Linked DNA regions of Alligator mississippiensis. Each later gene encodes a partner of the first gene's protein in a complex. Links are inferred from orthologs where the notes say so. Each region holds a gene or a part of one and is shown on either strand. Other genes may lie near its edges.

Region 1 (14,597 bases):
ATCCCATGCTAAATCCCCTACATTTCTGTAGTACCCAGACCTCTTTTCTCCAGCAATACCACTCCCCCCTTGCTCCATACCTGTTTCTTCTGTGGGTTGAAGTGACCGTCTCTCCCTGCTTCTACCTTCATTCCAGCCTTTCTTTGGGTCACCTTCACCTGCCTCAGAAGCAGGCAGCCTGTTTTCCTAATGATGACAAGCAAAACTATAGCAATAGAAGCGGTCCAGAATGCTTACCCCCTCCTCTTCCTGGCAGTCAATAACAGGTCTGAGAGGCCACTGAAACTCACCTGCTTGGTACTTGCTGCTATCTGCAAGGAGGAGAAAGTAGGGATATCCACTTTATGCTTGTCCAGAGATACCAATGGCTGGGTTAGTGGTGATCTTTTCTGAACCTTGTAGATCAGCTCGCTGCGGAGAGTTGCTAATTCTGCTTTCAGTGTGATAACATAGTAAAGAGACACTGCTGCAAGACAAGAGGACAGGAGCATTGCAAGCCACAGGAATGTGACAGAGAAAAGTCCCTTGTTGCTCAACCCAACAGCATGGGGGGCAGGAGGAGAGGAGTTGGTATCCTTCTGTTGGACGGTGTGCAAATAGTCCACAGATTTCATCCTTGCACTTTCCTTACTAAAGTCAGAGGGAATATTCAGTTGCAGCTTCTTCTGAGGTATAATCCATTTTGTCAGTTGCACTGTGAAACTAAGGGCATCCAGAATAAGTGACCAAAACGGCCAGATCATTTCCTGTCATATGAAGCTGTTGATACAAACATTCAAGTTTAATGAACAGGGTGAGTGTCTGTCTAAGATCCAGTCTCCCCTTAGTTTTCTCCTTTCTGCTCTGCATTTTGGCAATTCATATTTGCCATCAGACTGCTTGCTTAATCTACCTTCCTCATTTTTCTTTCAACTATTAATTTTTATGGCAACTTGCCACTGCCTTTATATTCAGACACAACTGATACCAGTTATATCCTGCAGCTTATCTAACAGGGCAGAAGAAATGAAAGGCTTACTGGTAGGGTGGCATATTCTTTCTGATACTAACTGATATAGTATAATCTTTAAACAAAGAAATCTGTTATTTTTCTAAGAGTGGAAATACATCTAGGCAAATGAGATAATTCTTATCATCAGGAGGGTAGGGAAGAAAGGCTACAAGACAAAAAGTTTCCCAAGTGAAGTGGCAGTGTTGCCATCTCATCAATGATAGAAAGTTGCAGGCTCACAGGTAGGTAGAAAGTTCAATAGTAGAAAGTTGCAAGTATTTTTAACAACTTTATTTCTAACAACTTGAGAGAGAATAACTTAGTACAATTTATTGAATGCATTTTTTTATTCTATGATAAGAGTTCAAGCATTTGGACAAGGGATTATACCAATGACTGAGAAAAGAACATAGAGCAGCTAATTCCAAACATAGGAAATAAATGTAAATCTACCTGCTTCATTTTATAACAATTTTATATCAGTCAATTTTCAAGGTCCTCAATTATCTAGCTGAAGGTCTAGGCGTAAGACTCAGGAATGAGGATTGCAGTTAGCGGTTTAGTAGAACTTTCTGTCACAAGGCTTTCTCTGGGGTGGATCCAAGACTATAACAAACACCTGTGGGTAGTAATCTCACTACCTTCCACTGGTATGTGAAGTGTGCTTTTTTTCTCCTCTGACCTTGACTTTGCATTCTCCAACACTGCTGCATAAAAACATTCTAAGTGTACATGATAAAAAAAAGAACAAGCTATTCATAACTGATGTTAAGCATATTAATATACTAGTGCAAGGTGCTCAGATGCTATGATCTGGGTGCTAGAAGAAAATTCTATATAAAAACCTTAGTCTGTCTGTCTGTAACACTTTATTTGCACTCTGATTGGTTGTCTTGGCAGCCAATCACAATGCTTACTGAAACAACCAATCAGAGCGCTCTGCACAGAGACACATGTGGTGGAGCACTGCCATGACAGTGGGGATGGAGGCTCCTTGGAGGCGGCACAAGGTGGGGTGGGAAATGGGGTTGGGACCATGGTGGCAAGGGGGAGACTGGGGTCAGACCCACTGTGGCAGGGGAATGAGGCAGGGGGTAGAATGGGCCTGGACCTGAACCACCGGGGGGAATGGGGTTGGGCCCAAAGCGATGGGGGAAGGGGTTGTAAGGGAGTAATCCAAAATTACTAACAACTAGCTAAAACCTTTCTGGGATGTTTAACTGAAAATTTCATTTCATGAAAAAAAAAGCTTGCCCATGGTCAACACAGAAAGGTTGTGGTCAAATCAGGAACTGAAACCAAAATATGCTGAGTTCCAGTACAGTGCCATCACCACAAAAGCATTCTTTCTCTGTAGGAAACTTCATTATGAGATGTACTTGTTTTAACATGAATCTTGAATAAGAGGGTGAGATGACTCATGCATTTGAAAGATGGCTCGGGGATAACAATCTAAGGGCGCATTCACACATGCAAGCACATGCGCTTGCAGCAGCTCAGATAGAAGCGGTACAAGTTTGAGCCAGGGATTTTTGCCTCAGCGCACATGCCCAGACATGTACTTTGGTGTAGGGTAAGTTGTGCCACTTGGGGCAAAATAACCCTGCCTGGCTTCTCCTGGATTTGCAGCCAGGGCCAGCACCTGTGCTGTTCCCATCAGTACAAGAACCTGCCCTGACAAGTAGCTCAGGGCTACTCCCTCTCAGGGACTTCTGGGGCCCAGCCAATTGGTACCTGTGGACACTATCCCTTGTACCAGCTGGAACAGCCCTGAGAGTTCCCTGTACCCTCTACCCACTGCAGCAGTCTGGCAGTGGGGGCTACTGCCTGACTGTGACCTGCTGCACACCTGCGACCCAGATGGGGATGGCACAGCCAGTAGAGGCACGTGCACCTCTGGGCCAGCTGCCAGTGGGCTGTGGCTGCAGGGTACTACTACCATGTGTGCCCTCTACCTGGCCATCTGGGCATGTATCGCCTGGAAGATGTTCCCAGCATGGTGGCCTGCTCTGAACTGTCAAAGCATATCCTTCTGACCCCAAGTGGCCAGGAGGTCAGCTACCTCCATCTGGGTCCAAGGTTTCAGCTCTGAGCAGGCAGGGTCCTGCCACTGCCCTCCCTAGCAGGAATTCTGGTGTTCCCTATTGGGAAACTGAAAAATCCCTGATAAAAAAATCCCAAAGTCACTCTGTAAAATACCCTGAAATCCATGTTCCTCCACAATTAAAACAAATGACCACTATATAGAGTGAGACACAGAGATCAGTTGGGCAATGTTTTATTGATATATCTACAGTGTTAAAGCAATTTGGACGCTTACTAGTGTCTCTATCATCAGAATAAAATGAATTCTAAATACCTATATGTTTTGTTGCCCCCCACAGGAGCCACAGTCCCCCCACGGGGGCCAAATGGCTCCTGCAGGGGCTACTTCTCCTGCAGGGCCCACATGCCCCACCCCCCCAGTTGCTCCCCCAGCCCCTCGGATTGCTGCCCCACCTGGCCCAATCCCCCGCCAGCTCCTGCAGCCCCCCAATGGCTGCCCCACCCAGCCCCCAAAACCCCTGCATGGCCTGGCCCCATCCCCTGCTTGCACACCCAGGCCCCTGATGCTTGCCCCTCCACCTCAACATGGGCAGGCAGCGTGCTTCAGCACCAGGGTGAGGGCCAGCCATAGAGATGTTCTGGCTGCTACCAGAGCATTTCTGTGTAGGACCCAGCCTTCAGTTACCTCAGGGTACAGCCCAGGACCATGCCCTGCCCCACTTTGTTCCACTGCGGGTTTTTTGACCCCTGGATATCCAGGGGTCTAATTTTGCCCCTGTGCTGCAAATTTGCAGCACAGGGAATGTTTTCTTGTTCCTGCACATGCCTCTTGCAGCATTTCAAAGGAGTTTGAGACGCTACATGATGCACGTGTGCGCTCACCTGGATGAGCCCCAAGAGTTTAAAAACAAATTTGAAAAATATTTATTTAAAAAAAAAAGGGGCGGGGGGGAACATGTCAGTGCTATTATGTAGATTAGGCATTCACTGAAGTCCAAGCCAGGCTACAGTTGTACTCCATAAGCAGAAGGATTAATAGACATTAAGTAATACAATACAGCATGGGTTCCTCTATAAGGGTGTAAAGCCAGCCTGGCCTACCTGGGTGCACAAGATGGCACAAAGCAGCAGAGATACCAGGGGAGGGATTAGAAAAGTGAGTATTCATCTTACCAAACAGGTTATTCCAAGTACTCTCTTGGGATGCCTTTATTTCCAAAGTGGTCTATCAGCTTCTGTCCATATCTGATACATTTGTTCCCCATAAAGAAAAGAGGTTATATTTGCTTTGCTCCTACTTAAGAGGCATATGCAGAGTTTTCTGAGACAAAGTGCACATTTCTGCTAAGGTGATTCATAGCACCTTCAATCATTAGCAACTGCCCACATGATACACAATTCAGGAAGTCTCCAACTCATGCAGGACCTGGCATAACGATGAAACTCCAAATAGAGCCATCTTGGCTGTGCATTTTGCATATGTTCATTTTTTAAATCAATAACCTTAATGCTGGCAGTGAGTGGAGTGCTGCCCATACGTTTTAGGCAAAAGCATGTAATATATTATTTGTTTAAAATAAAAAAATATATATTTTAATTTTTTATTTAAATTATCAGGTTAATACACATATATAAATTATATCTTTTTCACCCTGCCTCTTCAGTACTTTTGACACAGGACTAGGCACAGTACATTGTAGATAACTGAAGAATAAGAAGTGTAAAGGAGCCACCCATTTTGGTAGCATTTAGAGAGAGTAATATAGCAAAATAACCCATAACATAGCCAGGTTCAAAAAGAGCATACAACTTCCTAATTCAAAAGTGATAAGAAATTTTGTACCAAATTCTATAAAAATCAGGATCAATACTGAATATGCATTTCTTTTTGGACAGTAAAATGTGGTTTCCTGGCTTCTCTGCTGTACTTTGTGTAATGCTATTTTATTCCCCTTTGTTTTTCCTTCTTTCCAACATAGATTCTAGTATCCCACTTACCTCCTTCATAAAAGGCATAGCACTTAGTTCTATTCAGGCTGATTGCAATAGCAGTTTTCTCAGAACCTCTTCTCCTGCAAATGCAGGACTATTCCTTGTTATTCACCCCAGTATACAAAGCAAATTGATGGACAACCTGCATCTACTAGCCCATTGAATGCTTGGTAAATGTGGCTATTAGAATGGATTGAAAGAGAAGGCAGAGAATAGAACAGAAAGAGGAGAGATTAGAAAAAGACTAATATTGAAAACTGGGGAGGAAGGGGGATTGGCAGGAGGCGGGGGGGGGCACAGAGGAAGCAGGTTACAAACAGAAAGTAAAACAATCAGAGACATTTGAGCAGATTTATATTTTGGAAGTTTCCATTTAAAGGAAACCCCTAAGTCCATTTGGCTTGAGCTGGACAACACAAAGCTTATCATGGCCTGAATTATGAGTAGTTTCATACTCAACAGCATAAAAAAAATATGGTTGCATTTCTCTTAGACCTTCAGCACTGCTGAGCTAAAAATGAGTTGATAACGTGATATAAACAAGAAGCCCTCCTGTGCCATCTGGAAGCAGATGGTCTCCCAATCTCATAGGCCAAAGTACTCATACAAACCCATTAGCAGCAGGGAGCATAGGTCTCAGGGTCTTAGTAGTGCCAAGGCATAACATTATATACTCACAGCCAGATCTTTCTATACACTGCTGCTGAGTCGATGTGGAACAGAAGTTGACTGCCTCTGTGTTGCCTTTCACTTTCAAATTTTGTAAATGGTTGGCACAGTGAGCTGGAAGATAAAACAGTCTTTGCCTGTCCAAGACAGCAGGTGGAGTTAGTTCCTTTGCTGCTTCCTGAATTGAGAGGCAGTATTTATCTAGGACATTGAACATAATGCAATGATGTCATTGCACAAATTATTTATCTTCCTATTTTTGAAAGTTTGCACTTTCTTGGGGTGTAACACTAGGGTTTTTATTCAAAAGAAAGCCTGCAAATCCTAAACACAAATACACAAGTGCCAAAATGCCTAAACACACAAAATACCTCATGACATACACCCACGCACAGCCTGAGGCTGACAGAAAAGTAAACTTCTCCCATGTCAGTGTGCGCACACATTTTTATACTTCCACTTACTAATGGCATATAATCATGTTGCCATATCATGAAATTAGATTCGAAGAAAAAAAAAAAAAGAAGCTATTTCCAAGATATTCTGATGCAACTAGTTATTTGGGATTCCTAACTTAAAACATTTAAGGAGTCTTTTAGGAAGACTCGAGAGAAAATAAAACCCTTCAAACAGTTCCTCACACTGAATAATTAATATCGGAGACCAATTAGTACCTCTAAAAAAATCCTGGTCCTTATGACTAGGTACCAATTTTTAAGGTACTGGGATTTACATTTTTAACCATATTCAACATAAACAAAATGATAAAGATATTTTCAACATTAATTTGCAATGAATTCCATGACCTAGAATTCCCTAACTCCCAAAAGTGCTTCCTTCCCCTGATTAAAAGCCACTCCTAGGGCCCTGGCAAATATTGCAATATGTGTTAATCCAGGATAGAGCTGCCCCCTGCTTGATCCCTGGAATCAGGCTGGACAGTGCCTCAGGTGCCAATATGGCCCTAGCAGTTGCATGATTTGGATTAAGAATTGTTATGCTTTATCCCAAGCATCAGATGTGCATAGCAGGACACATGATGTTTGGGATGGGGCATGAAATTCCTCAGATCCCAATTGTGCCCTTATTTTCACACCTGCCAGGGGCATTAGTGTAGTTATAAAATACTTGAAGGGGGGTGGGGGACAGACAACATATTCATGACCTGTATGTAACCCTGTCAACACAATACTTCAAGTTTCAAATATTAAACATCCCAGTCTTACGCTGTTTAATCAATGCTGTTTCATTTTAGTTATAATTAAACTACCTGAAAAAGCAAACCAGATGACATGCCCAGATATTTTGAATGCACAAGACAGACATAACCACAATTATAGATACTGTCAACAGGTTTTTCTACTGAACAGAGAAAAGGTTTTGAGAAATACTCAAACTCATGGTTTCCGACTATGCCTTATTCACAGACAGGCAGCTCTTCACCCTTGTTTTGACTTCTCAGTAGTGCAGCCTCCTCCGAATTCATGTAGTGCAAATATTATATTCCTTTTATCTAATGTTTCTGTTGACTTAATTTGTGCCATCTATATATAAATACATTTATCAGCCTGTTTATCACATTGCACTACTTATATTGTATACACACATTGCATGCATGCAATATATAATTTAATGTAGTAGTACTGAAAGCACGTATTTGTATACATTTAATAAGAACTTTTACATCCTCTTTTTATATTTTAAAAGTATTCAGTATTTAAATATTACGGTAAATGGCTTTTATGAACTATGATGTATAGTTTCATTGCATCCAGGTTTTTTATATGTCAAGCAATCCAAGTGCCTTTTATTCTGTACTTGATAAAATCAATTGTCTAGTAATTAAGTGTATTTAACTACCTTTCAAAAATTAGACCTAGTTCTTCAGGGCAGTAGCTATTTACATTACCTGTGTGCATGAGGAACATTCACAGCAGTATTGTGCATTCAGGTACAATGTTTTATAAGTGACACAGCTCTTCCTTGCATTTATCCTTTCATTTTACTTTTATAGTTGTTTACCTTAGAACGAAATGGATGAGAATTTTGGAAGCTCCAATAGCAGGTTTCAAGTTTCTGTTCTCCATGAGCACATTGACATGAGACATTTACTGTGGAGCTGCCTGAACATCTCAGCGTCTACATATGAGGTCCTATTAGACTGCAGAAAACTAATGAACTCTGCCAAGGGTTAGTACTTGTAAATACAAGTATTGTCCTGCTGCGGCATTCTTTAGTGCACAGCAACACATGTGAACACACTGATGGGGCTGGCTGGGGCATGAGTGTGCTTCAGTGAAGGGCTGTCTGCCAGCTAGCCCTGCACTGGAGCACCCTCATGCCTCAGCAAACCCCTCTGCAGCACGTTGAGCCAAGTAGGAGCAGCCCTTGGACTGGCAGGCTGATCCCCAGGGTCCCCTGCCAGCCAGGGCTGCTCTGACCCGGCTTAACATGCTGCGGTCCCAGATGCACATGAAGACAGTGCCCAAGAGCAATAAACTCCTGGTACAATATGCACCAGAGTTTACTGCTCTGTGCTAATAGTACATACATTTAGATGCACTCTCTAGGTATGAAGAGAAATGGGTGAAAGTAGTACTATGACCAGTTTTGTGAATCAGGAGAGAAAAGCACCAAATTTATTAAGTGTAGAGAAAAAAGAAAAAAAACAAAACAAAACACTCTATCACTAAATAGCTGCAATGAACAAAACTAACTGTTAGTCACTTTTTCTGAACTTAGTGGCTTATCAATGATAGTATAGGCAGCCAGATGTACCTTGAGATGTACCTTGAGGCTAGCCTGATACAAAGAAGACTGAGAGAAAGGTAAACTGCTAAGTAATGGCTAATTGAATAATAAATGCATAAGCTTTCGTGGGCAAGATACTATGAACGGATATATGCAGAGCAAGCTATAAAATAAACAGTGATTTAAACACAAAAGATGAAGTGAGCTCTTATTCACAAAAGTGAAGTGGTGAACTGGAACAGAGATGCCTAAGGTTCGTCTTTACCTTGCTTTCTGCCTGGCTTCAAGCTAACATGGCTAACTACCACTCTCTGCTCTACAATATCATAGTTCTGAGAACACATTAAGAACAAGAAAAGCCTAGATAAGACCAGGTATATAACTAGCAAATTTTTAACTGGTCTCAGGATGCTTACTCCAAAGGTGACTTAAGAGGTTTTTACATTGGCTTTGTATTTTCACCTCATTTTCAAACCAGTTCAAGTAGCAAAGTATTCCAACAGGTCTCAGTCCTCTGGGTAAGATGGAGACAGCCTAAATCAGAGGTTGATAACCATTTTGGCTGGAACACCAAACATACCCCATGCCTTGATTTGGCATGCTGGGGCAGACTGGGGTGAGGGGGTCACAGCCTGATCCTCATTGCTGGCAGCACCTGCACATGTGCCTCTGGGTGAACTGTGAGGGAGCAGGCCAGGGTTGTGCTGCCTCGGCCCCTTCCCTACCCTGCGACTTAGATCACAAGTGCAGTTCCCACCAGCCTGGAGCCCAGGTAGCTATTTGCAGCCTGCCTGCTGCAGCTGGCTAGAACTCAGGCTGGCTATGGCAGACAGCTGCAAGGCTGCAAACAGTTGCATCAGGCTCCAGAGCCTCAGCACCAGCTCCAGGCTGGTGGTGGGTGCACATGTGACTCCGGGTTGACGGTGAGGGAGGGGCCTAGAGCAGCATAACCCCAGCCCTTCCCTACCGTTTGCCATGAGGTTTGTGTGCAGCTGCACTGCCCCAGAACCCAGCCAAGAGTCCTGGAGCAGCTGTTTGCAGCCTCCCATTTCCCTGCCATAGCTGGCCAGGGCTCTGGGCAGCTGCTGTCAGCCATAGAGCCCAGGCTGCTTGCAGCAGGGCTTGGGACCTCCCCGCTGTCTGATTGTGAGCAGCCCAGGCTCTATGGCTGGCACCAGCTGCCCAGAGTGGGCTGGCTATGGCATGCTGAGCAAACTGGCCTCATACCATGGTCTGGCATGTGTGCTGGGGGTTGAAGATGCCTGCACTGAATCTTTTTGCAAATGTAATAAGGTGCAATGGATGGCCAAGTCTAGATTCAATACTGTTACTTTCAGAGAGGGAGGCCAAGTTATTAGGTTCAGGAATCAATGTCACTAATTTAGTAATTGATTTACTATCTTCCTCTGAAGTAACAGAAGCTTTTCAAGAATCTGGCATCCAACATGGGCAGCCTCTATCCTCTAGGTACATTGACTTATTCAGTGAATCATTTCAAAATCTCTGCCTGTTAAACACACAGCAGTTACCATACAATCAGAAGACTACATTCATACTGAAGACAGGTCAAACAAATAGGAACAAGACATTAGTAGCACTTTTAATGTATCAATTTATTGCATATGTCAGTACATAAAAATAGAAAATGTGTTTTGTAAAATCAATTGTATTGTAAAAACCAGAATAGAATGAAAGTGTTTGTAAAAACTGCCATGGTTAGCACATATACTGCAACATTTATGCTTAGTTTACAAGATATAGAATTAAAAAGTTCTTTAAAAGAAACTCCTACTTGAACTGAATAAAGAAAAAAAAAAAACCAGAAGAAAATGCATCACTTGAACATTCTGAGAGTAATTCTGAATTTGAAATATCAGTTTTATTTAAATACTGAATATGATTCTTGCATATACTTTACACTTCCGCATGGTTCTATTGTAAACTATATGGACTGAACAATATTATAAAACTTACTGTCAACAGGACATACTAATCCTGGTTTGAGCCTGCCATGTGCAGGAGGCACTGGTATTATTTTTGGCAAAAGTGCCTCTTGCACAAGTTGCACATTAAAAAAAAAAGTGATGAAGTGAAATATGAATGGAGATATAGGTACATCTCTGCTAATTTCAAATGCCATGTCTTGGGATTTGAGGGGTTCAAAAATTCAGCCTGGTTTGTCACCACAGAGCACCCAAGATTGACATCACCGATTAGCCAGGAGATGCTGACATGCATATTATTTCATACTATATAGATGAATTCATCCCGCTCAATATATATCTACCCTTACAACTGGGAGATTGTCCACAAATATCAAGTGTCAAATACATTTGTGCTATATTACTCATAATTTTACCTGAGAACGGACATAAGGGCAGCTATATTAGTCGTTTTTTCCTTATTTAAAATTCCAGCTTATCTTTGTGTTTCACAGTTTCAAAATTTGGGGCTGGGAAAGTGTAAACATGGATCAGTAGACAGTCATAAGTGTTTCCACAGATTAGAGCAAAAAGGAAAAAGTGCTTGTGCACTGGGTAACTTTTCACAATGACTCTATTAGCAGTTAGTCTACTTTGTCCAATTCATTTGAAATCTATCATAAACCTTTTATAAAAGACTGACACCATCCCTACTTTTAAACCCAAAGGTGACTGTGTAAATCCTGTAATCATGGTCCTCACTTCTCAAACATACGCATAATTCATACTTCTCATAGTTAAACACATACTCTTTCATATTTTTCCCTAAGATGGTATATTCTATCTGATGGTGGCCACCCTGCAGCACAAGTGCCATAAATGGCACGAGGCAGCTTGTGTGTGTGGCATATGGCATATCAGAGAGGGAGTAGCAAGCACAAGGACAAATAGGGCAGGAAACAAAGCAGCACAACAGGCTAAGCGGGGGAAGGGGAGTGGCATGGCACTTGGGAGGAGTGTAGAGCTTACCTAGAGATATGCCAGCCAAAAAAGGTTGGGTCCCACTGTTTTATACAAATGAAAGCTGGCACAGATTAAGTTGTCTAATTCCTACTGCATTTTTCAATTAACATAGCTAACCATTAATCTGACTCTTGGCAGTTTTAACATATTATTCAGTCTTCTAAACAACTATCCATAATAGCTGCTGCTTAAAACTTGAAAGTCACTAGTAAATAACTTGTTACTGTAAAGTTTGGAAGTGTGTATGTGCAGACAATACCCTTCACTTGTGACTGACTGATGTTCCAGCTGGAAAGGATTCCTGGCAAAAATAAAAAAAAAGACTAATTCCCCACTGTGCTACCAATAGAAATACCATTTACAACATTACAGAAACATTAATAACACTGGTTTATGTGCTCTCCATCTCCCTTCCCAGAGATTTCAAAGCCTATGGTTGCACTCTTACTAAAATTTAATTTTTCATCCATGCTGTTCAATACGACCACTAATGCCACCTCTAAGACACAACAAAGGATGGAAAATTAGTGTGTGGTGCTGGTGAGTATCTTGCTCCTCAGTGTAATAACCCTATGCATATAGGATATGTTCTTATGCCTATATATTCATGACAACATGCAGGCTTTCGGTTTTACTACTGGAAATCCTACAGACACTAAAGGTGAGAAGGTAGGGCTTGGGGGACCAAGGATTGTATAGAGAAAGTGCATGGCATAAACAGGTCTAAATGGTCATAAATCTTGGTTTTCTTCCTCCCAACCATAAACTCCTATGCACAAAAACTGCTCTGACAATTAAGGGCCCATCTAGGTACTACCCATACAATGAAAGCATAAAGAGCCCTTTGCAGTGTCAGTTTATACTGAGGGGGAAGAAGAAAACAAAAGCCAATCGTCTCATGTTAGAGTTTAGCTTCTGCCTTGTAAACCCATATTTTATGCTGAGCGTACTCATTTAATCGAAAATCACAATAGCTCTTGAAACAACTATTTACTGAGCTGAATTTATACCTTTTCATGAATAATAAACTGCATGGTCAGTTCTACTGCTAAAAAAGCAAGATAGCAATGCTTGTCCCACTTAAGTGGCTACAATATATTCATTTTACTTTCTCTTGGGCTTTACTTAGGTTCAAATCTAGATGGTTCAGGGGGAAGAGCAACAAGGTGTAGGAACTATGTGTTGTGACTATTAGAATACACCAGTAAAATGAATGTTATGATGCATCAAAACCTTTTTCTGTGCAATTGTTTGCTATTTCTACATAATACAGGAGAAAGAAAAAAAAGGCATGCCACACAATACTGAAAGAGCAGGATACCACAAGGAAGTCAGAAAATAGAGCCAAATCAAACTGTAGCCAAAGAAAATGTAGAAATATTTTCATGGTTACTCAAGGAATTGTAAGGGCTCTTAGCTGCATCACTACAGAAAAAAAACAAAACACTTACCAGGTAGATGGGCAACAATATAAGACACCACACACCTTTGTTTAAAACCCAGGAAGGAATACTTCTGAAAGTTACTCTGGAACAGAAGGGCAAGGATCTTTGTGGGTGTTATCCCTGCATGATGTATATTTCCTGGATCATCACTCCAACACTACCACTACTCTGTATTACAGAGATATTTTACTTCTACAGTCAGTAATTTTTTTTTTTTACAGTCAGTTAATTATGTATCCAAGCATGTGTAGTACCTTGTACTTCTAGTCATAGAGCACCTTTTCAGGAAAGCAGCTTTATTTATTGATGTCAACAGAATTTAAGCACAGGCTTAAATTAGGACAAAATTAAACATGTGATGAAGTGCTTTTCTGAATGAGGGCTTACCTGTAATAACAAAAAGGCTACATTTAGAGAATTCACCCTTATGAGCCATTGTATTTTAGCATGAAAAAGAAAAAAAAAAAAATCCTTTTTCCATACATATTTTTCTTCCATTAAACTATTTTTGACCAAGCAAACTGATTTAATTACTTGCTGCAGCTAAACTAAGTAAGGGATTTATACATATGCACTAGTAAAAGTTAACCAAACTGGAGAGATGGCTTTGGTGCATTCGTTTTGTAAGGCTCCTCACACTCTGTGGTCATAATCAGGCTCTCTCACTTCATGATTCAATATTGTTGACAATAAGAGTGGTTACTATTAGCACTGACTCTTAATATAGCTAAAGCAATTCACATTTGTGTTGAGGATACAAATTGCATGCACACTGTCTGGTAGCATTTAGATAATTTAGGAAAACAAGTGACTCAAGTATTAAATAAAAGCTGTCTGTTTTCTAGACTTTAACAAGCTAGGGTTTGTTCAATGCTTATTTACACTGTTGCTATGGTATGGGTAATAATGGTAAATTAAAACTAAAAATGTACTTTATATAGCTTCTTTTAGAGATGGAGGTGAAGGGCACAGATGTAATTTTTAAGTTTGCTTACTTTTAAAAGTCAACCAAAAGCATATTTCTACTTCTTCCATAGTTAGCATTGCTCTCCCCAGTGTTTTTCCTTCCACTCTAGGCACCCATACCTGAACTGATCTGATGCTGTATATAATGTCAATCAGAAGCACATTCAACTAACAATGGTTAAGAAGTGGGAACAGTCAGTTTAGCAAGTCATACCTGGATTGTATATTTTATCCCTTTTTTGCCAGTTTTCTTTTTCTGAATGCAAACTATTCTGAACAAAAACTATCTGCCTCTGTGTAACTGGTATAACTTTATAGATTCTACCAAAATAGAAATACTGAAATGAATATAGGAAAAGTAGCTTTTCTTCTTGACCTGATTTGTAATATATTACATCATAAAAATAGATTATACTTATGCATATACGATCCTGAATTATTTCTCTGTCATGAATACTATTTACATTACTTAGCACATTAAAAGTCTCCATCTTCGATAACAACGCAAGGAATAAAACACTACCATGCATGGTATACTTAAGGTAAATCTTAGAAATGTTACAGAACATATTTTGCTAACCATGATTGTCCAATCAGCCAATACACAGAGCAGAGAATACTGAAGACCCTCCTGTTATCTCAACCTAATGTCATTTGTACTAATGTAGTAACAAAATTGTAATAGCTTCCATTGTATATACTGAACAAATGGAAGATATGAACAAACATATAAAAAGGTATGGGAAAGACATGTAGAAATGTTCACTCACAATGCTGCAAAATATAAAAACT
Region 2 (16,136 bases), on another chromosome or scaffold:
AGAGAGTGAGATCTGTGAAAAGAGAAGGGTGAGATGGGTGGAGGGAGATGAGGAAAATGAAGATACTGAAATGGGGGGCTTGGGATCATTGAGAGAAAGACAATTGGAACAGAATAGAAACAAATGGACTGTGTGAGTGTCAGGGTAGAGAGAACCAGCTTGGTAGTAGGTAAATGTTGCTCTTGGTGAAGACAAGAGGAAGTATAATTAATGCAAGATAAAGGAACTCTGAATTATTTGCTTGCTGATACATACTTTCAGAGAAGGGGTTCTGAAGACCAATGTAGTTAATCATTATATGGGTGTAAGCAGCCTACTAAACTGACTCACTGCATCACCCCAAAGCCGTGGGTGAGGCAGGAACATGACTAATAAGGATGGCTGTGATGGTGTCATTGAACTGAACCAGGGCATTATCTTTTTTTTTTCTGATCCCTACGTGCACATCCAAGGGCTTGAGAAACAGGATTTAAATCAGCGTATGTATGTATATATACATATACACATATGTATATGTTCATATATATTGGTACCTATATGCCTATACATACATGTATACGGAGACACTGGGACTCTGCTGGAGTAACTATTTAGTGAAAACATGTTGGGCTTGGTGTTCTGAAGCTGGGGCTGGATTACTGCTGTTGGCAATAGACTCTTTTTCTGAAAGGGCTCTAGCAGAGATTTGTTACTTCTAACAGAGCCACTGCACCAGTGGGGCATGTGTAAGTCCATCTCTGCCTGGCTCTCTGAAGTGTGGCATACAATGTGTGCTGATACTACAGCCCTGGACATGCTGCACACAGCCCACAGGAATGGTTTTCATTTCCTAGTCTCTGTCTTTGAACTTTGCTGGTGCATGGTAGCAGAGTGGTTTAGGCATCTTACTACAGCTCCATAGGCATGGGTTTGAGCCATGCCAAAGTCTGTCCATAAAACTGGCTGTAAGTAGGGACCCAGTCTTTTAGGCTGGGAAGTCAAAGACAGCTGGATCTGATGCTCTTGACATACCACTCCTTTATGTGCTGCTGACTCTACAAGCTGATGTATCTTAAGCATAGTAGCTCAGTGCTCTAGTGCTTAATCACTCTTATGCTTAGATTAAGTTGCTAGCACTCCTGGTGTGGAGAAAACCTTGAAAACACAACCCAGAAGAACCCTAAAGCCTCAGCAGCTCGAAAACAAAGGAAAAACCCATTTTATATATATATATATATATATATATATATATATATATATATATATATATATTTAAATATTATTTTTCGGACATGTGATTTGAGGCAGGGAGGTATTGATTCACAATGTCTGGATGCTCTGAACTAGCAGTGCTGGGGATGAGTGAAAAGTATGGAATGAAAAGTAAAGAAGCCAGAGACTGCGCTGGTATGCATACAAGGTAGGCAGTCAGCGAAGATGTAAATTGAGGAGTCAGTGTGTAAGAGACAGCCTGGGTGGTGGGGAAAGAAGGGGGATGAATAGCGGAGAAGTACCTGGGGAGTCAGATGTCAGGCAGGTTATAATGTGCCATAAATCCAATGTCTATATTTAGTCCATGAGTTTTAGTATCCAGGAGGTTGATGAAATGGAGTTCATAGGCTCGTCTCTGGGAAGTGTTGTGTAAGTTTCCTTTGAGGATCAGGACTGAGAGATTGGAGAGAGAGTGGTTTTCTTGTGAGAAATGTGCCCCCACCGGTAATTGGGTATTCCTGTCTTTGATAGATTTCCAGTGTGGGTTCATTCTGGTGTTCAGTTGTTGTTTGGTCTCTCCTACTTATTTTCCATCAGGGCATTTGGTGCATTGGATGAGGTATGTTACATTTCTGGAGGTTCAGCTGTAAGATCCGGGAATGCTGATGGCTCTGTTGTGGGGTGTAGTAATAGTGGGGCAGGTTTTGCATTTCTTGTCATGGCACAGTCTGGATCCATTTGGTGTGTTCTGGGCCTGAGGAAGTTTGCTTCTGGTGATGAAGTTAGCGAGGTTCAGTGCTTGTTTGAAGGCTAGGATGGGTGGCTCTGGCAAGATCTCTTTAAGAATGGGGTCTCTTTCTAGTATGGGTTGCAATTGTTTGAGGATTTTCCGTATGGATTCAAGGGAGAGGTGATAGGTCATAACCAGCGGTGTGCGATTTGTCGCGTGATTTCTTCTGTACTGCAGCAATTCTTCACATGGTATCTGGGTGGCTCTTTCAAACGTGCGATCTGTCTCTCTGGAGGAGTGTGCTTGTTTGGTCTTTTTAAGATTGGTGAGGTGGCAATCCCGGGTGTTCTTCTCAGTGCAAATTCAGTGGTATCTGAGGGCTTGGCTGCATATCACAGATTTTTTGGTGTGGTTAGGGTAATTGCTGGTTCTGTGCAGGTATGTATGTTGGTCTGTGGGTTTCTTGTGTAATGTGGCCTGTATTTTATCATTCTGGATACTAATCATCATATCTAAAAAGGAGATGTTGGTGCTGGAGTATTCAAGAGATAGTCAGATGGAGGGATGGTGACTATTGAATTTCTGATGGAACTCAATCAGAGATTGCAGGTTTTCAGTCCAAATGCTGATGTCATCGATATATCTTAAGTATAGCAAGGGTTTGATGGTGTCGTCCTTCCAGGTGGCTTATAAAAAGCTTTGCATACTGTGGGGCCATTTTGGTCCCCATAGCTGCTCCCATGGTCTGGAGGAAGTGTTGGTTATTAAAAGTGAAATTGTTGTGTGTGAGGATGAAGTGTATAAGGTCAGAATGGTTCTTTTTACTGCCCCTCAACCCAAACAACTGGGCTGACTGGTGCTTCTGCTGGTACTTAGCAGCCTCTCAGGTACCTTCCCAGAGGGCTCTGTTCATGGACTCAGGGGCAAACCAATTGCCAGTTTTGGAGTCAGGATGGAATTTTTTTCTGCCAGGTCAGGTTGTATTGAAGGGGATTTTGGGGCCTCCCTGGGCACATCTACACGAGGCATTTACTGTGGAGTAGACTAATTAGCTCTGCAGTAAATGTCTCACATCTACACGTGCAACCCTATTATGCTGCAGGAAACTAATTAACTCTGCAGCAGTGTAGTACTTGTAAAAACAACTACTATCCTGCTGCAGAGTTTTTTTTACTTTGTAGCAGTTCACTTGTAGATGCTGATATGGGCTGGCTGGGGCACAAGGGTGATTCAGTGTGAGGACTGACTGCTGGCTAGCCCCACACTGGAGCATTCTTGTGCACCAGCCAGCCCCTCTGTAGCACATTAAGCCAGGTTGGAGCAGCCCCGGGCTAGCAAGCTGACCTTCCCCTCCCACCCTCCATAAGTCCCCTGCCAGCTGGGGCTGCTCCAATCCAGCTCAACGTGTTGCAGTCCCGGGCACACGTGCAAACAGTGCGCCCAGAAGCAATAAACTCCAGCGTGATAAGCTTTACCTTAATAGCACATGCAGACATGCCCCCTCTGTAGCCCAGGATATGGTCCTCTTCTTAGATCATCTGACCATTCCCTGCTCTTACAGTGGTTGTCTGTGAGTGCAGAGGACTAGACTTAATGGCCTGGCAGGCTCTTTCCAATCCTACATTCATAACTATAGCACATGATTTTGGAGGAGTCCTTTTCCCACCCCATCCACTCACCCTGCTCCTTTAAGAGTGTAGCATCAAGGCAATAAAAAGCATGCCCACAATGCCCTCTGCTGTTGGAAAAAAGCATGCACCCACCTGACAGTCCTGACCTTCAGCAGGGATACCCATGCAGGGGAGAACAGTGCAGAAGGCAGGAAAGGGGCATATCCTCATATCCAAGCAACAGAGCAAGAGAAACCATGCAAGAATCCCTCCCAGCTTTCCTCAGGCCTGCAGAGATATTTCTGCTATGTTTCCTTTCCAACTGAACCAAACCAAACTTGCATGTGGGACAATTCTGAGTGCTGTGGGGTTTTATTTCAGGTGGTCTGAGAAGATAAAGCTGGGGCCGTATGGATGAGACAGACCAAAGGGAAATCTAGATGAATGTCAGAAAGCATCGCTCTTCTCGCCCCCTTTTTAACTCTTAGCTGTCAGCCCAATAAGTTGCAAATTCAAAGTAACAGGCAGGAAGGTGCTTCAGTGGCCGGGAGAAGAGTGTGGTTTAAATGCACAGGCTGGGTAGATGAAAAAAAGGAAGCAAAATAAGTTGGTTCAACACAGACAAATAAAAGACACGTGATGTTGCACATGAGTCAACTTTGTTCTGAGGCACCTGTGGCTCTGAAGATCAGAGAGGGGAGTGGTTTAGTAAACCCAGGCCCATGCCGAGAGTTCTAGTTTTCCTGATACTTGTGTGCAGCATTGAAACATAAGCACAGAAACCACCACTGAGATACCAAAAGGAGATCTGCAGACCCATCTAAGGGGAAAACAAACCTTAATTTGGCAAGGAAGTCCATTCAGAGTGAGCTAAAGCAAGAGGCTTAACAGAAACTGAGTAGCCAGCTGAGAAGGGGGAGGTGAGAACTGCAGCCCAGAGAATGAGACGATATATTTTCAAGTGAAAAAGGAAGTGAAATTACATGAGATGTGGGACTAGCGGACAGTGACCAAAGGAGGGTTTTAGTCTCGACTTTCACTTGCTTGGACTCCTTCAGCAAGTAATGCTCTTCTCCAGAGGTAGAATGGAGAGGAGGACAAAGGAGGTCAATCCTTGGCTCAGACAAAGCAAGTGCTGGGATATAACACTAGTGGCCTGTTGCTGTGTATAATATCCTGGGTAACCCAAAGCCTTTCTTGGAGACAGGTAGGAGGTATTATTAGTTCCACTGCTGTGGTGCACCAAGTACGAGAGTCCCACGTCACACAGTAGGGCTAGGATAGAACGTCATACTCCTGTATGCTTCCCCCACACGGTCAGACACCAAACTGGATGAACAAAGGGTCTTCTCAACAAAATGACCTTCTTGTTTCATCCCATCTGGCAGAAGCAGGATACCAGAAAAGACAGATCATGGTCTGAGTCAGGCTGACCAGAGACAGCCTGCTGGAGACAGCTTGTTTAACCTGGTAGGATACTGGAGAAGAAAGATTAATAGTCTGATCCAATGTGGAGGCTCCTTCGTTCCCATCACATCCTCCCATGAGCGACTCCCCTTCCATGTCACTGTTTGCATTATCTTAATTTTCCACTGTTGACTAGTGATGAGAGGTTGCACTCTCCAATGTGGTGGCCTGGTCTTGTATAACTGTTGTTGGTGAACATTTTAATAAGAGTTACTCAGTGGCAAGACGTGATGTTGAATGAAGGTCTGGTCAAGCCAGGGAATATGTGGCCTGAGATAAGCTGGTGTTGGGGAATATAAGTGTGTACATGTTGAGTGGGGCTTGAAAGGACTGTAACGTGTGGAGGCTAAGGGGGTGATGCATGGATAGGTTGAGAGGGGGGTATTGGCTGACAGGCACTCTGAAGAAATTGGAGGAAAGATACTGTGAGAAGATGAAACAGCCTGGAAAAGGTTAACAGCACTTGCCTGTCACCTGGGTCAGCAGACTGGAAAAGAACTAAATATGTCCTTTTTTCCAGAGGTAGGGCAGGGGAAGCAGGCCACATACCCCATCACATCCCCAGGCAAGCTGGTGGACTCATTCATTCACTATCCCAAGAACAAGCCAGAGCAACATCCAAATCTCTTTCAAGCTCTTGCTTCAAGTCACAGTTTATTATCTGAACACAAAGTAACAAAAGCCAGAATCATTCCCCTAGGACAACCAGATTCCAAGGTCCCAAAGGCATTGACTTTCCCCGCCCTATCTCATTCCACAGGTACTGGTATTGGCGGGGGCCTTTGCTGGGAGACCTTGCAGTATGCCCTGCATTCCCAAGATTAATCCTGTACCAAAATTGCAAAATTTAGGCTCTGTCAGTCTGGGGTTAGGGCAAGGGTGGGCAATTATTTTGGGTGGAGGGCCGCTTACTGAGTTTTGGCAAGTCATCGAGGGCTGCATGACAGGCTACCCAGGGCAAATTAATATTAATTTTCTAATTTTTTTAGGGGACCCATGGGCCAGATAGAATGGCTTGGCGGGCCGCATCTGGCCCATGGGCCACATTTTGCCCACCCCTGGGTTAGGGTTTTTCCACAATTCCCCTTAGCTGAGAGCAAGCTGTTTACAGAAAGCCAATATCTCTCTAAGGTCTTACATTGTACAGGAAAAGTGGATTATGATAGCTGAGGGAAGCAGTATGCAGACACAGCATGTAAATCTACTGAAACCAGGAAAGACAGAAGCTTTGTTTGTCCACCTAGTGATATAAAAGCAGGATTCAGGTGCCACAGACATCAGAACCAGATGTCTTTATTTCCCTCCTAAAGAAGACTCATTTGCTGGACCTCTGTATCCACCTTAAGCTTGGGAGCCTAATTCAGAAGGGGCAGCTCTGAATCTCTGAACCGCTGTGCAACACAGTGAAGAAGGAACCGAAGAGTACACTCCAGTTAGGAGAACAGAGAAGCCTAAGAGCAGCCCAGTTATATGGGTTCTGTAGCTAGGTAAGATTATCTGAGTCTGCATTGGCTTTAGAAAGTAAATGCAACGTCCAACTTGAATGTCTGTCCCATGCTTCAGGTGGATAAGACATTGGAAAGACTAAAAACAGGTCACATGTATAACCACTCTGGTCTTGGCCAAGGGACAGTAGCAACTGCCCTTGATCCCAGAGTCCAGGGAAATAGTGACCTTTGCTACCACATTTGGATTATACTAGTTTCAGAGACAGCTCTCTGGCTTTGGCTCTATTTGAGTGGCTAGTGGATTGGGTACGCTTCTATCATTAAGTCTATCTCAAAGAGGTGGTCGTAACCTATTCGAGTATAGTCCAAAGAGCTGTGGAAGGATTATAGAGGTACAACAGTCCTGTAGGGCAATAGACTAGACACAAGGTCTCCCACGGTCAAAAAAACCCCTCATGCTGCAGGGTAGCAGCACGGGGAACACCTGCATGTGTGGTGCCACAGACAGGTCTGCGGTGCCACTTACCACACATCTGTGCTCATCTGGATGTGGCCCAAGAAGTTAGGTTGCTCCCCTGGGAAGAGACCAGTCAGGTCTCTGGCCTTGCGAGAATCCTTGGTCCCACCTACACAATAATTCCTCAGTTCTCCCTGGGAATACCTCACTTAACAAGTCTTCTGTCCAATTAGGTGCCATGGAAGATGCATTTACTTTCTATTCGTGCAGATGCTTTTTGAGACACCAAAAGGATCCTCTGCTGTGTAGTCTAGACTTCTCTGTGGAGTTTGTGCTATAGATCAATATCTCTGAATAGGGCCCTGGGATCATCTTCTCACACACAGCAGTTAGAAGAGTAAGAGCAGTTGTGCTACCCACAAAGAAGAATAATTTGGTTGTGCAGAGTGTTCAGCAGTAAATTAGGTAATATCTCTTTAGGTATTTATTGCCTTTCCCTCTCCTTGCCAAGCGCACACCTCTGACATGGTTACAACCCGCAAGGGAGAGTAAATCTTGGCTACCCTAGTCTTCAGATCTAGACTTTTATCATATACTAGACCCCTACAATCCAAGCAGAATACTGTTGGCACCTCCTGGCATGCTAACAGACATGGGAGAAATGCATTTTGTTGCACATGGGATTAGACAGGAAAAACATGTTGGTTTATGGAAACAGACTTTTTTACTTATTTCAAAAGTCTGTTCCCAGTACAGCAGGAAATGGGTTGTCATTGCAAATGGGAGAGGGATAACATGTAAGAAAAAACATAGGAGTGGATGCAAAGGTGATGTTATAATATGTTAGCTAAATATAATGTAGTTTATGTAAAAGGTAATGGTATGTCTAAGTATCTGTATCTGCTAAGTACCTGCTCTTATATACAAGCTCTAAATTTCCAGAAAGCCCTGGCTTATTAAGTAATGAGAAAGAAAGTAAGAGAGTTAAACTGCTAATGTTGTCAGTGTGGCATGTGCTTAGAATTAGAAAAAAGAATAAAATAGAGCAAGAGGGAGGGAGGATATCTTTGCTAGTGCTAGCTGGATCTGCTGACGTCAACCAGCATGGGACAGCTAGAATTTTTCCCTCGCTAGCCCAAGGCTTACATCTTCTGATCAAATGCTTGCAACTACTGCAATTACTGCAAGGTACAATCATTACTAAATGCTGCAACATTACCAGCTAATGTATAGTTAGTATGTGATACTTCACACCACCTGATGCAACCCACATGAACTCCTCCAAGGAGGTGAGGACCCTTGGATGAAGAGGATGTTCAGAACCACATCCTGGAGGGTTGTGGGAGGAGTGAGACAGGATTTAGTGCTGGCTGTTTAACACCTAGCACATCTTTCCTTTAAACACTCCTAAAGCTTTTCTTTTGGGGGTGGGAAGAAGGAAGGGATGGAGACTCAAAGGGGAAAGCCTCTGGGTTCTTGCAGCTTGTTTTACTTCATATTATTTTATGAAATGTACATTCAACTAAGACTCAGTTCCTGGAGGCAAGGGGCTGAGAGACTTGGGTGAGACACTGGTATGGGGTTAGAGGGGCACTGCTGGAGCTGATGGTGGGGGCAGTACAAGCCGAGGGGCATTGTCCAGGCTGAGCAGGTGGGGGGGTACAGATGATGGAGCATTGCAAATGAAGGTGGGGGATAGTTTTAGTCTGAGGGAGTTTTTCATGGGCAGGGCAGTGGAGGAGAATGGGCTAGAGGGTGGGGAGGGCATGCTGAGAAGGCATTGCAGGACTGACCCTGGGGAGCAGGATAGGTTTATGGGGTACACTGGCCAGATGGGAGAGAGTTCAGGCTCAGATGGAGTTGCAAAGGTGGAGGGGGGAGGAGCTGAGCGAAGGGAGTGCAGGCCCAGAGGGGAGGAGTACTGGCTGCGGGGTGTTACATGGGCAGGCTGGGCTGATGTTTTCAGCATGCATGTTTCTTCTCCTCCCACAGATAAAGGTACGCCCTGGGGGAAGCACAGAGAAGCCTCAGGGGACGGACCCAGCTTGACAGACTGTATTTCCCTCTGACAGGCCACAGAGTTCGTGATTTCACACTTGGGCGGCACTTGCCTAACTTGCTGCGCTGCACCGCAGCTCTGAATCTGACTCCAGGATGCCATTGGACTGGACAAACAAACACGCAGACATCAGCTCTGACTGTCCCCAGGACCTGTGCTTCGACAAGCTGACCAAGCAATGCCTCAGCTGCCATCTGTTTGGGATCTCCAACACAGACACAAGTGAGAGGAGGGTAGCAGGCTCTGCATCCCCTGATTGGGGCCCGTGGTGGGGATTGGGCCCCATTTGAAAGGAAAGGGATCCCAGGGACTGCACAGAGGATGGGAGAAGTGGAAATGGGATGGAAAGAATTAAGGGGGTGGGCTGCTTCTCCTGGTAGGAGGGAAAGGACAGTCATTCCCCGGCCGGAAAGTGGGATGGGGAGAAAGGGGTATATAGCCCTAACACTCAAGAAGACATGAGAGGATTGCCACCCCTGCCCCCATGGAAATGGGAAAGTTGGCAAGGGGCAAGTTTCCCCACCTCTTGCTATGGTTGTGCGTCAGCCTGGCAAAGACCCTTTTGAAGATGAAGGAGATGAGGAACTTCAGTGTGTGGTGGATGGGCAAGTGTCGGGAAGACAGTTTGTCCTTCTTGCTTTGAAAATGTTGGAGCTACCCCATGTGTTTGAACTCCCTAGCCCCCGTCCTCAAAGCTAGGGCCATCCAAGATAAGTGGCAAGACAGCTGCCTTTAAGTCCTCACTGCTCTTGGCCTTGCTTTACTTCCTTCCACAGGAGACCTCACCAGCATGGGCCCCACTCCAACTCAACTGCCCCCACATCCTTCAGGGAACATGCTAAGCCCAGTTTTGATCTTTGGCATCCCTGTTCTCATGGGGCTAGTCCTGGTATTGGCATCAGTTTGGGGATTTGTTACTTGGAAAATGAGAAGGAGGCGGAGGAAAAGGGAGAAACCAAACGAAGAATCCAAGGGTAAGTGTCTCCTGTCCCTCCCTTGTCTCATAGATGTATTCCCACACACAGACTCAGGGTCTGGAGAGGACCTTCAGGACCATCTCTAGCCTGATCTCCTACATGACAGGCCATAGAACCTCAACCAGTAGTATCTTTGTCAAGACCAACCCTTTGCAGCTGAATTAGGGGCTATCACTGGACAGATATTCTGTCCTAATTGACTAAAGACTCAGCATGAAGGACAGTTTTTCACATCCCCTGAAGTCTTTCCAATGGTTCGTTACTGTCACTTAAAAAATTGTGCCTTACTTGCAGCATACACTCTGCTGACTTTTTCTTCAAACGACTGGATTTTGTTAGGCCTTTGTCTTCTAGGCAGGAAGAAGATATCTGAGACCCATTTCCACCCTGCTTCTCTCGCAGTGCACGTGGTCCAGATCTAGTCCCTTTCCAGTGGCTGCTTTGGTTAACTTGTGCAAGAACAGGCTATCTGGATAATTTGAGAGGGTCCAGAGGAGGGCTACCTGTATGGTTAAGGGCCTGCAGGTAAGATCCTACTAGGAGACATTGAGAGACCTGAATCTCTTCAGCCTCAGCAAAAGAAGGTTGAGAGGGGATCTTGTAGCCATCTAAAAATTCATCAGGGAGGGCAGCAAGGAATAGGGGACACTCTGTTCACCAGGGCACCTCTTGAGGTTACTAAGAACAATGTCCATAAACTGACAGGGAGCAAATATAGATTAGACATTAGGAAAAATTTCTTTACAGTGAGGGTTGCCAAAATCTGGAATGGGGCTTCCAAGGGAGGTGGTGCTCTCCCCTACCTTGGAGGTCTTTAAGAGGTCATAGGCCTAGCTGACCCCAGTGCTCTTTCCTGCCCGGGGCAGGGGTCGGACTCAGTGATCTACTAAGGTCCCTTCTGACCCTAAAAATCTATGAAATGTATGATGCTAGAGGGTTCTTTACTCTAAAACAGCAGTTCCCAAACTCTGGCAGATTGTGCACCACCAATTTAAAATGATACAACCTTATGTGCCACCAGCAAATTTTTATCATATGAAGTAATTATAATAAATCTGTTAATGCGTACCACTGACAGGTTGTCTGTGTACCACTAGTGGTACGCGTACCACAGTTTGGGAACCGCTGCTCTAGAACCCTCCAGCATCTGATAAATTCTTCCTGCCTAGTTGCTTCCTAGTGGTTAAATTGCCTCTTAACCTTCTCCTCCATAAACTAATGTGACTAATTGGGCTCCATTCATAAGGTGATAAGATCTTCCAGGACTCTGAGTGAGATAAGTCAGGGCAAAATACTATTCCAGCTTTCTTCTGTCAGATCTGCCAATTTGAGGCAGAAGTTTTAAAGCTTTTGTTCAAAAAGTAAGAGTGACATTTCCAAAGTAGGTTCAACCCAGCTGAAATGTTGTGGACACAAACCTTGTCCAACTCTTATATTCCATACTTTTATCTGTATTCACAGAGTAACGAGTTCTCTTACTTGTTACAAAGGCTGCTCCATGGAAATGCAGTAGGGTTCTGTAGGAAATGTGGAAATACTCTAGAAACTGACAGACTTGAACAGAGAAGGAGAGCTTTTCCACAGTCTCGTGAAATGCCTTACAAAACTTGGTTGCAGAGTTATCAACTGCTATTTGATTCTACAAAATGGCTCATAACTCAATAGAAAAGTTGTCGTTTTTGCCAACACGTGTTCATGTTTGCAAAGCTGCACTGGTGCAAATGGATGTCAGGATTTGAAATTCTGGCCTGAGGTTTTGCACCGTTTCTCTGTAAAGAAAATTTTCTGAATGTGTCCAGGGCAGCAAAATGGACCTGGGTCTGCAGATAAAAAAAACAACATAGTTTACAAGGCTGGCCCTCTAAGAAGCTAGGAACTCTCAATTCACAGCGAGAGTTTAGGGCTCTGAGCACTGCCCAGGAATCAGTCCCTCTCAGAGGCATGAGCTATCCCTTCCATCTCAATGGACTGTTGGCTCCAAAGCAATGGTTCTCAACATTTTTAGACTTGAGGCAGCCCTCGGAAAATGTCAACTCTTAGTTTTCACTTGATTTTTGACTACAGGAAAATACTGGAGCCATTCTTCTGTTGCAAAGAACTCAGAAAGATTACAGCCGATTAGCATGCTTTTGACACTATGGATTGCTATTTGAAAGCTCTGGGTTTATCTTGTGAATCATGTATGCATACCTAACAGTGCTAACCTTGCCAGGGATCCCACAGCACCCTTGAAAGGATCTCAAGGTACCCAAGGATGGGTACCTTGAGATCCTTTCTTGTAACCTTATTTCTTGTAACCCAAATAATGGGTTACAAGAAATAATGGCCACAAGCTAGCAGAGAGCAGATTTAGACTAGACATTAGGAAGAATTTCTTCACGGTTAGAGTGGCCGAAGTCTGGAATGGGCTCCCAAGGGAGGTGGTGCTCTCCCCTACCCTGGGGGTCTTCAAGAGGAGGTTAGATAGGCATCTAGCTGGCGTCATCTAGACCCAGCACTCTTTCCTGCCTATGCAGGGGGTCGGACTCGATGATCTATTGAGGTCCCTTCCGACCCTAGCATCTATGAATCTATGAATCTATAAGGATATCGTGGCATTCTGGTTAAGAATCACTGCTCTAAAACTTGAAGGTGACAATGTGGAGTCTAATCTTAAAAAAACAATAATGGAGGCATATAGGCACTATAAATATGTGAGTAAAGCTGGTAGTTGTATAGGCCTCAGTCTTTTTTTCATTCACTGTTTTGCTGATGATCATTTCTGCAGAAACATCCAGCTCTGTGCTTATCAGAGAATCTAGAAATAAAAGAGTGCCCATCAGCCCATCTCTCCCTTCCCAGGGAGCCATTCCCTGCAGTGTGTTCTCCAGAACCTTGTCCCAAGCCACCGACCTCTGCTTTTCCCCTGTGATGGCACTCTACAGGATAATTCTCTTCACAGTCTGAAAGGGTTCCCAGATTTTTTTCCCAACCTATGTTTTTCCCTTTTTTTAAACTTTTCTCTCATTACCCTTGGCTATAGGTCAGGGCCAACCCAAAGTAAGCCATCAGGGAAAGGGGAACAGAAACCAAGGGCAGGGGAGTGAATCAGCCATCAGGCTAGAGGATGAGGAGGACACAGGGCATGCTCCACTGCATTCCTCCTTTGACTCCTGGGTCTTTGAAGAGGGCTTGGATGGAGCAGGAGAGGAGCAGGAGGAACTCTTGTCCCCCAGCACAGAGCATATGTGGGTATTAGTGGCTGGGGGAGGAGCAGCAGCCATTACTGTGAGGCTTCCTGCTCCCCCTTTTTTCCTTTCTTTGGCTTCTGTCCTCATTTCATTTGCTAACTCCCCACCTCACCCCATCCCCCATTCAGCAGATCTGTTTTACCATGAAAAGTTAATGACACCACTTTCAGGAAGACAGGTGTCCTGCTCCGTCCTCCCCGCCCCCCTCCTGATGGGGCATAGCTGACCTTCCTTCTGCTTTTCTCAGGTGTACTGCTCCCTGATGGAAAGACATGGCCATAGCAAGGTGTGGCCATGTCTTTTTCCCCTAGGAAGCCCATGCCTCATCGCTGACTCAACCCCATGCTCTCATTTCGGAAACTTACGCTTCATTTCACATCTCTGAGCATATCAGAGTCTTCCGGGGAGAGATGTAGATGTGCTTTCCTGTATTTTTCACCCTTCTGCTTCTGCTTGTGAGTTTCTGCAAAGCCAAGGTTTTGGAGATGGAGGGAGAGAGCGGTGGGGGAAGAACAGGAAAATTCCCTGTGGAAAGCATATTGATTAAACCAGCCCTGTGGGTCCCAGTATGATGTTGCTGGTTACGTGGCTATCTTCCTCATAGTATTTGTGAAAGCCAGGGTGAAAAATCATTTGCAGCCTTTCAGTTTTGAGGCGGAATTTTTATCAAATGTAGTTAAGGAAATCTTAAAAGAAATCTAAAAGATTTTTCTAAAAGAAATCTAACCGTGAACAAGTTAGGAAATGACAAGTTGAGGCGATAAGCATGAAGAATCAAATATTCTGTGTTCAGACATCCTTGAATGAGGCCCCACACATTAGGTATTCCATTTGCATGTACCTTTGACTCTGAGCCCAAGACCTAACCACCAAGAAAGACGCCACTTCAGTTCTGCACATAAAGAAAGTTTCATATGACTCCAAACCAAAAGTTTCAGCATCAGAGCAGGTACACGTATTTTGGGTGCATAAACAATTCTATTTTTAAGTGATACTTTCAGGAGAAAATCTCTCTTCCTAATACTATAGGGAAGAAAATCTCTCTTCCCTAATAGCAAACAAAAAATAATTTGAGGCAAAAATCTTTTTTTTCTTTTCCAAAGCAAGAGGTGGCGTGCAAACTGAGGTTGCAGGGGAACACCGGCTGAGGCCGTAACTCCAGAGAGCCATCTGCCTCTTTACCTCCTGTCTTTGAGAGGGCACTGGGCATGTGGGGGTCCAGCAGAGGAATGGGCTTTGAAGTGCTGGTGAGGAATAGTCATGGCACCACTGGAAGGACTGATGGCTGTCTTGGAGGCTTGTCTGCATTAGAGGGATCAGTCAATGCTAATGCAGTTGGTTGTTCCATCATCGCCCTCTGAATTCGTGGCAGATTTGCCTCTGCATTCACCCTTTAATTGTTTTAAATGGATTTAGCGGAGGCAGTTGTTATCTATGATAGAAAACAGGTTCCTGAAGTGATGAAGCTCCTTTATATGCTGACTGAGTGTCCACCTTTCTGCTTCTTCACCCGCACCCCCATAAGTACTAGCCTCCCCAGAAACATCTTCTACATTTCCACCCCCTTCATCCATTCCCCCCCACCCTTGAAATGCACTTTCTGTATTCCACAGACTCTCAAACAGCAATCTCACTGGGTATCCTGCTCACTGAGACTATAACCTGTGTCCATCCAGAGCCTGCCTCAGTATATCCTTCCCTCAGACATGCTCCTATCTCCCCAGTGCATATGCTGGTCCCTCATTTCCTTTCCTCTGTAGTGATTCTCTGGAGAGGTGCAGGTCTCTGAAGAAGCAGGTCTGGGAGCTGAGGCAGGGCCCCCATGTCTGCTGGAGAAGGTGATATAGTTGTTGGTTGGCTCACCAAGCTTCTACTGTGCCAGCACATTGCATTTTCCTTTGCATGCAATTGTCTGAGTCTACTCCAAATCTGGCTATCCCAGTTCATGCCCCTATTAAAAGATTGGGGTAAATTACATGCAGTGCCTGCCCGGCAAATGCCTGAAGCTCTTCTGGATGTGGATGTAAGGTGTCCGTCAGCAGGCTGAACTGGAATCTGTTGGCAAAACTTCTTTAATGCACACCAGGCCTCTTGTGGGGATGAAAGACAGGATTTCTTCCTTGCCACACATCTCCCATTTGTCACTGAAAGTACAAGGATATTTTGACAGCAGGGGCAAGGATGAGATATTGGGGGTGCAGGATTTGACAGCCAGAGGGCATTTGGAGCTGCCTATTGATGGCAGGGGGAATGCCCACTCATGACATCCCCTAGGTTTGTAATCCCCTCCTTCACGGCACCACTCCAGCTTCATTTTGCATGATTCACATAAGGATATTGTGGCAGAAGGTTCCTGCCTTTGTGCCCTGTACCATGCAGTCTACCCCCACCTTTATGACACCTTACTAATCCATCTCTTTCCTTTCCCTGTAGAAAATCAGGACTGTGTTATTTCCTTTGAAAGCCAGGCCTGTACAAGACCAAAGCTTCCAGAAGAAGATGATCTTGTTCTGGCCACGTGCCCACATCTGAATGGCTCCCTGAAGACAGCTGGGCCAACTGGAAGAGGAGAAACCTCAAAGTGGAAACTAGCCTACCAGGGGAGTGTGGGAAATGATGTCATTCATCTCTCTGCCCTGTCCCCCTGCAATGAAGAATGGGATCATGGCTTTCCACTGCCAGCAACTGAGCTGGGGGCCACTGTCCTGGTGACCACCAAAACCATTCAAAACAGCTTTCCAAATGAGGAGAGACCCTGAGAACTGGCAAAGTTGGGCTGACACTAGCTGGTTCACAATGCAGATGAGAAAATTGCCTGCATTGGAGTGCAGAAGGTGTTGCATGAAAATGACTTGAATCAGAACTAGTCTGAAGCAAGGTCAGCCTTCTTTGCCTTCTATATATTCCCTTTCACACCCGCATTGAAATCAGGAACCCCTGTAGAGCAAAGCCAACTTACCCTTGTTT

What was found.
Region 2: the proteins of TNFSF13B (region 1) and TNFRSF13C are in contact, whole or in part, in a crystal structure (PDB 1OQE), measured with the Homo sapiens proteins. The link is inferred for Alligator mississippiensis from reciprocal best matches to the Homo sapiens genes TNFSF13B and TNFRSF13C. Residues at the interface, in NP_006564.1 of Homo sapiens: Ser162, Tyr163, Asp203, Thr205, Tyr206, Ala207, Met208, Gly209, His210, Leu211, Thr228, Arg231, Cys232, Ile233, Pro264, Arg265, Glu266, Asn267, Ala268; in NP_443177.1 of Homo sapiens: Asp26, Leu27, Leu28, Val29, Arg30, Val33, Leu37, Leu38, Arg39, Pro41, Arg42.

What each region holds. Positions count from the first base shown.
Region 1 is NC_081824.1:356,269,456-356,284,052, forward strand, and holds the start of TNFSF13B (tumor necrosis factor ligand superfamily member 13B), read right to left. Parts: upstream 5,871-14,597; 5' UTR 5,708-5,870; intron 4,283-5,707; 5' UTR 4,211-4,282; intron 760-4,210; 5' UTR 744-759; coding exon 291-743; intron 187-290; coding exon 81-186; intron 1-80. UniProt on the Homo sapiens protein: Cytokine that binds to TNFRSF13B/TACI and TNFRSF17/BCMA. TNFSF13/APRIL binds to the same 2 receptors. Together, they form a 2 ligands -2 receptors pathway involved in the stimulation of B- and T-cell function and the regulation of humoral immunity.
Region 2 is NC_081827.1:96,810,474-96,826,609, forward strand, and holds the start of TNFRSF13C (tumor necrosis factor receptor superfamily member 13C), read left to right. Parts: upstream 1-8,927; 5' UTR 8,928-9,057; coding exon 9,058-9,184; intron 9,185-9,738; coding exon 9,739-9,936; intron 9,937-15,602; coding exon 15,603-15,928; 3' UTR 15,929-16,136. UniProt on the Homo sapiens protein: B-cell receptor specific for TNFSF13B/TALL1/BAFF/BLyS. Promotes the survival of mature B-cells and the B-cell response.